Linked DNA regions of Caenorhabditis elegans. The protein of the gene in region 2 purifies or fractionates together with the protein of the main gene of each other region. This does not show direct contact. Each region holds a gene or a part of one and is shown on either strand. Other genes may lie near its edges.

Region 1 (3,833 bases), on a different chromosome or scaffold from region 2:
TCCAACATGGAAGCCCTAAATTATTGTGTTCCTGTTATTAATATTGTATGTAACACTGTTTTTTAGATAGTCATTTTGTGGGCAAGACAATTATGAATTAAAGTTAATTTTTTATAACAGATTTATGAATATTGTGTGATTCTTAACTATATTTTATAGCTTTAGAAACAATATCAATCTTCCGCAAAATTTTGTTTTTGAAATGTAAACAGCGCTCTGAACGCGCTTACCGTACTTCCGCTTTTTGTAGTTTCCCAGACAAGCAATACTTTGTGGATACTTTAGCAAAGTTGTTATTCTATGGATAAATTAAACTTGAAAACCGTTCAAGAAAAAAAAATCTTCAAAAAAACTGCTTATTTCAGGTTTTTCAATTCTTACCTCTGGCGGTGAATATGGGTACATTTGTTTGGGCAGTCTGATGTTCCAGAATGGGATGGAGCTGACCAGTACCTGAAACGAGAATTAATTTGAAATGTATGCAAATATTTTCTATCTACATTTTGTTGTTCCTATGATATGGTTGAAGATTAATCTTTAAATTTTTGGCACAGATGAATACTTCACTGTTAAATTGTGTTATTAAGTGAGTATTAAATTGTATCTATCAAGAACCATCCAAATCAATTTGGAAGCACAATGCACACATTGCCAAAAAAGTGATTGTACTTTTTTCTAGATTGCAATGTGGCTGCATTATGCGCAATTAGCTGTGTTCAAGGGTTGTGTAAGAAAAATTTGAGCACGAATTTTCATTTTGTGTATATTAGTGAGCTTATGAGAATATTTCAAAATTTTGCCATTTTTTGTCCATCTCCCGTTTTCAAAACTATTGTTCTGTTTTTTTTCAAATACTATATTATCAGTAAAACATTTTTCTTCCTTTATCACTTCTTTCTCGTTCATCTCGCAGATCCCACTTCTATTCTTAGAATGTAGTGATCAGAGATGGCTGACCGCCGACGGGATATAAAGGGAAAAGGGAAATAAAATAGGAGAGAATTTAAGGGAACGTGATGTTCAAAAAACCATCATCATCGTCTCTATCTCTCACTCGGCCTCTGTTTCTTTTCTCGTATGTTTTCGTTTTAATTTGATACCTGGACAACGACGAGAATTGATCCGAGTGTAGGTTTTGGAGAGTAATTGCGATAAAAAATCGTAGCCACTGTTCGTTCAACAGCCAGTGCTACGGAGGATGTAGATAGACACATTGCCCCAAGCATTTCAATGTGTCTGATCACTGAAACGAACTTGAAATGATGTGATTTTTCACTGATGCTTACCTAATCCATATTGTGGACTGAATACTTGAAAATCACATTGCATATAATCCGGCATGACATTGGATATGAAAAATTTATACAGACAATCCACGGTTATACCTGAATATCAAAAGTTAAATTCAAAAAAAAAAGAAGTGAGCATTCTTAAATAAGCTCGTACTGATTTCAATTTTTTGAATACCATTTTACTTAATTTTCCAGTCTCATTCAATTTTTGTACTTCTCTGACTAACTATTTGGAAGACATAAAAAATGAACATGTTTTACTTTTTTGTAATAAGTTTTCTGCAATAATGAAACAATCATGAAAAAATATTCAAAAAAGTTATTCCGTTGCGGGGAATCGAACCCCGGCCTTATGGGTGAGAGCCATAAATCCTAACCACTAGACCACAACGGAGACGAGAAAATGTTCGAAGATTGGCAAATATAAATCAGTAGCAGTGAAAAATAAATTAAGAAACTAATCATGAGTCATCATGTTCGTCGTCAGGTAACTTGACAATATAAAACAATTTAGTGTAGTTTCAAAGAACAGTAAAGTAAGAACATCATTTAAATTTAGAAGTATTATAGGAACAAATTTTTTTTCAAATTTTATTTTATTTTTAAAGAAAACCCCTTTCATGATTTTGGTTTTCCGTAAACTAAAAATTGCAAACATACCTGTATTACAAATAATTGCAGAAATACACAAAACCAATAAAATCACTTTCGTATTGATATGAATCCCTTTTGTTTTGACAATTGTCGCTGATAGCAAGCCCATTCCCATTGTTGCCAAGGGAGCGGTCAGTAACCGGAGAAGAATCGAATACTCCATAAATGTGGACCCATAAATGACGTCTGCAGTTCCACAAAGTTCACATCGTGTGCAGTTCATGTACTTCTTGTCCATAACGTTTTCCTGATTTTAAAAGATTGAGTAAAGCATAAAATCAACATAATTGAATGTTTTGTTGACACCAAGAAAGACGAAACGAGTTCCAATGATTGCGATCATGATAACGAAGGAGGGGGATAATCAGCTGATAAAGGATATATCATGGCTTAGTCAATCTTTTTCTCTTATCTCTTTTTAAGGGTTTTTTTCGACATTGACATCGAGACGGATTTGGAATTAATTGTGATAAAAATAGATGGTCTTATAAAAGGTTCAAAAAAGTTACTAGCAACTAGTAAAACCAAAAATATTTTTTTACATGCAACTTTAATGATGAAGGAAGCAAATGCAAGGAGAGAAACCATTTGAAATCTGTTTTTCGTTTCCTTCTGATATCAGAAAAGAAAGGTTGACCGATAATGGGGAATTTACGTTTTGTGAGAATCGTGCGTATGATTGTGTCTTGGTGATTTGAAAATGAAAAATGAGAAGAAAAATGGGATGGCGGGTGAAGAGAGGTGAACTTTAGTTCCAAACAATTTTCGAATCTTTCATGTCGTTTCAGTAGAATTTTAGTAGATACTGAAGTGTGCATTATTGAAAAGTGTATTGTAATAAATGGGAGCTCAAATAATGCACATTATTAGCCTTATTACAACAAAAATATGACAAAAAAATTATAACGTCTCATTAAAAATTTACTGAAACTGTAAATTTATAAAATAAAAGTACAAAATTTAGTAAAGGGTTCTTCCAAAAACTACATAAAATTTTAGACGAATGTAGGGGCGGGGTTTGAATTTTTTTAAAGTTTCCAACTCTTCAAACCACTGATGTTGATAAATGGTAAAAATTAGAAGAAAACTCTGTTGTTTTAATAAGCAGTAGACAATTCAAAATATAAGAAAATACCCGTGAAACTCTTAGCAAAAACACATACCTACCTGCCTACATATCTTTATTAGAATTTAAAAAAACTGATTGTAATAAGAAAATGGGAAAATTTTGAATCTACACGCACCTAATACCGAGCACCGAAGTTCACGACAATATGCAGATGATAGGCGGTAGGTAGGCACTTATAACATACCAGCCTTTCATCAAAGAAATAAAGTAAAAATATGTAATTGAAAAAAATTTTCAGAACGATAATTTTTCCATGAGAGATTTGTCATGACATTTCGCATTATATGCCAATTGTCAAATTTAATGAAGACTGAATGCGCTTACACAAAACGAAGCCATACGGAATGTTAAAAATTAAAATATAGCTCCTAAGCCCATCTAACAGTAAACACAGCAAGAATACAAAACCGGCGATCAATGGGCTAGAGCCTGAGAGATGTAGAGACACGAAGGAAAGAACTGGTCTAAGTGTCTGTCTCTCCAGAAGTGAGTGACTGATATGAATGGCTTTTGCTGTAGAAGAAGGAAGAGTGGAGAAGGAGAAGCAAAAGGAGATGAAGCTGACATCCATCCGTCCGAGGGGATAGGAAAAGTGATAGATCTTGCCGCCTGGTGGCCAGCAGCATACTATCATGGGCATCACTACTATGGATTCTGATAGCGGAGAGATCTTATCAGAAAAAAATAACGAAAAGTGCAAAAGGGAAAATAACAGATTTGGATTTTGTTTCCCAATTTCCTGATTTCCCAAGATTTTC
Region 2 (3,600 bases):
GCGATAGACAACAAATTCCCAAAAACTGGCAGCGGACATGGCCCGGGTGGAAAGTTCCTCCGCTTCCAATACAACTCATAAACAAGGTAGACAGTGAGAACAGTCAATAACAAAATAATCAACATCGCTGTAGAAATCAGACATTTCCAGCCCGCAATGTTATTCGCTTATGTACCGGTCGCCCGGGCGTGTTCATGGTTTGTGACACGTGGAGACGCAGATGTCGAGATATGTGAGAGGGGTATTAGGTAAGGGAGAGGTAGTCGTTGGGAATAATAACACAGAGAAGTTGAGTGTGTTGTGGAGTTTGTGCTACAGGTATTTTGTTGGGAGAATTAGAGGGGAAAAGATAATGTCAATTTACTACTAATTCCATCCACTTTCCGCTGATTAAAAAATCAGAATAGAGAATATTTATTATGTAGCCTAGATTTTTTTTTTCAGATTTTTCATTTTAGATAACATTAACAGTGCTCGTTTTTGTTCCGCTCTTCTTTCTTAATGTCCCAAAAACCAGCAGAGCTTCCAAGGCACAACCCCACATTTTTGATACCACTCCAATTGGCCCAATATTCTGAAAATTTAAAATTTAGATATTGGATTAAAATCATCTCCGCCTGTGCTGTAAACCAGTGCTTGAACAAAAACGCAAACAGAATTGGTGAAAAGTGAAAAATAATCACGTTAGCCGCATCGATAAGAGCTAGAAGGTTAGCCTGTAACAGTGTAAATTATGAAGGGTTAGTAAAAATCGGGTATACATACTTTGGACAGGGTTTTCTGCTCAGTTGAGTCTTTGTTAAGAAAAAATAATTTCGTGGATAGTAGTATTGCAAACATTACAGTCAAAATATAAGCTGTCTTAATTATATGAGATATTCTAGATATTTTAGCCGGGAAAACAAACCCCTTTATTGATGCTGTAATATTTATTGAAACAAGCATTAATACAACATCCCAAAGCAGCACACTCCTTTGGAACGTTGACCTGGTAGTCGCAAATATTAAAAAGAACGAAGATGTCAGAAGCTCCGAAGCCAATTGCAAAAATTGGAATCACAAATGTTGGGAAATACGGGCGGTAGTTGCGGTAGGTTATCGGTACATATACAGCCTGAAATTACTATTTGTGACTTCTACGTTGTTATAAACTTTTCTATCACAAATACTCTTTTGAATAATTTGCAAACTATTTTAAAAAAACCAGTTTTAGCTGTTTCTCAGCACAGCACGTACCATCACACGTTCCACCGAAATTGTCAAGGCGGTCAACGACCTAGCCGCTCCGATATTCCAAGATACCAGGGAAAAATAAAAAATCATATTTCTCCATGGTAAAAATTCATCGTGAAAACTAGTTAAAATAATATAAAATCCTAAATGAGCGACAACCGATGCACCAAGAATTACATCGAAGAAAAAGCGAAACTTGAAAAGGATTAAATGTTTTTTCTTTCTGAATATGGATTTGAATGTAGAAAAAAGTTTTAATGCTGAAAATTTAAATAACCTTTCAATTTGCTTCAACAAAGAAATATTCAATACGCATGTAAAAATTGACGGTAAAAGTCCAATCATTGAGATTATCACAGGCGTTGTGACATTCATTTTCAGTTAGTTTTTTTTGTTAAAATGAATTGTTTGACAAGTCAAGAATTATGTTTTTCGGTCAGTTAATTAATTCGAAAACAAAAAGAAAAAACTGAATTAATTTACTTTCTTGGAAGTCAGTTTTATGAAATCCGGAAAAACACCAACCTACAGACAAACTTCAGAAATCACGGTAAAATGCAACGAGTATGTCAAGGTAGGTGGAAGATCATTAATTAATTTTGAAATTTTGCGATAAAATTTAAGCATTTATGAAACCCAAAAACATTGCGATCTTAGAATCTTCTTGTTAGAATCGCAGTGAACAACCTCGGAGCAACCACTGGTCCGCTGCCTTTGGCCATTGACGGTAGGCCTTCTTTTGAGGGATGTATCTGCAAAATCGTTTTCATCTAAAGTTTTCATAACGCGATAGGCTAACTCACCTTGTATCTATTCAAAAAATTAGCAATGAAAAGGAAAAGCTCCATCCGAGCAAGGCCTTCTCCCGGGCAACTTCGTTTTCCGACTGAGAACGGGGCGAGCTCGTCTACCTTCTTCAATTTCCCATTTTCATCGATAAATCTGTCTGGATTAAAAGTGTACGGATCTGGGAACACTTCCTCATTATTCATAACGGTACTAATTTGGGCAACCACTCCAGTGCCCTTGGGGATTTTGAACCCATCTATCACAGTATCACGGGTGGTTGCGTGCTGCAAGTTCAGGGGGAGAATGTTGATACCTCGTTGTGATTCCTGAAATATTTTGCACATTAATTAGTAAAATTTAAACTTGGAGTATAACGTGTACTAAAAGGTACTCTAGAAACCTTGAAAACGCGTTGAGAAACCCGCCCGTGCTTACATTTATAGACGCGTTGAAGTACGGAAGATCATTCTTATCAGCTGTGGTGATAAGCCTATCACTTCCAATCACTTTGTCTAGTTCCTCATGAATCTTATCCTGAACCTCTGGATGATGCAAAACGTAGCTGATTGCCCATGTTATAGTGTTTGTTGTGGTGTTGAGGCCCGCAAACCAAAGATCAATGCAAACATTCAAAAGCTGGATATTACTGAAGTTTAAATTTTTACTGTTAGCTCAAAATTATAATATATTCCCATATTTCCTACCTATAAGTTTCAGAATCACCCTCGCTTTCACGTCTTTTCTGCTCTTTCAAAAAGGTCTCTACAAAATCTGTGCTCTCTGAGTTCAAATCTTCAAAATCTATTCGGTGCCGATGTGCCTCAATTTGTTTATTAAAAAATGCTAATGTAGTATCCCGGAAAGTTTTGATTGGTCCTTCGTATAAAGATTCGGGCAACAGCTTTGCAAATATTGGAATATTCATGGCTAGAAATATGTGAAGTTTTCCGAAAATTTCCGCTGGAGAATCAATAATATGTTTTAATTCCTGATATTCATTTTCTTTGGGCTGAAACTCATCGGTTAGGCAATGCTAAAAATTTCTATGAAACCCCCATAAATCTGTATCCAAAAAGAAGTTGATTAACCACATTCGCAACTGCATGATCGAAAACTTCCGGAACATCCGTCTCGGATCCCAGTTTTGCATCTAGCCTCGCAAAAACATCCTGCACCTCCATCAGAATATTTTCCTGCATTAAGTTCTTCCCAAGACCAAAATCTCTCATTGTAGAAAGTGCAAACCGTCTGTGCTCTCGCCACATGGCTCCATTCGAATCGATAATTCCGTACTCGCCGCCGCGGGACAACGTCACCATAGGGAGTACGACCTTGTTTGTGTATGTGTCGGCGTCACGAATGAAGGTCTCTTTGATCTTGTCCCATGTGTTGATCATTATGTGAGGAGTGTTACCTGAGTCGTCGGAATTTTAATAAGGCTGATCGACAAACAAAAAAACAAAAAAAAAGTGGCCACACGTAGTGTCAGGCTGTCCCATTACGGTTTGATCTACAAAAAATGCGGGAATGATTCCCAAAAAATGTGGTGTCAACACGTTCTTAAACATGCAAAATCAG

What was found. Proteins that work in one complex are often made in the same cells at the same time.
Region 1: the proteins of srbc-16 (region 2) and K08B5.1 fractionate together in Caenorhabditis elegans (co-fractionation; one large-scale study listed by BioGRID). This does not show direct contact.

The regions. Positions count from the first base shown.
Region 1 is NC_003284.9:16,556,795-16,560,627, reverse strand, and holds the start of K08B5.1 (G-protein coupled receptors family 1 profile domain-containing protein), read right to left. Parts: upstream 2,195-3,833; 5' UTR 2,185-2,194; coding exon 1,953-2,184; intron 1,690-1,952; exon of another isoform or gene 1,595-1,689; intron 1,386-1,594; coding exon 1,287-1,385; intron 1,244-1,286; coding exon 1,101-1,243; intron 454-1,100; coding exon 382-453; intron 1-381.
Region 2 is NC_003283.11:2,180,046-2,183,645, reverse strand, and holds srbc-16 (Serpentine Receptor, class BC (Class B-like)), read right to left. Parts: upstream 1,609-3,600; coding exon 1,237-1,608; intron 1,115-1,236; coding exon 908-1,114; intron 862-907; coding exon 766-861; intron 717-765; coding exon 618-716; intron 575-617; coding exon 455-574; downstream 1-454. Other genes in the region: cyp-33C2 (CYtochrome P450 family), read right to left, coding at 1-125; cyp-33C1 (CYtochrome P450 family), read right to left, coding at 1,887-1,985, 2,037-2,348, 2,458-2,668, 2,727-3,031, 3,075-3,436.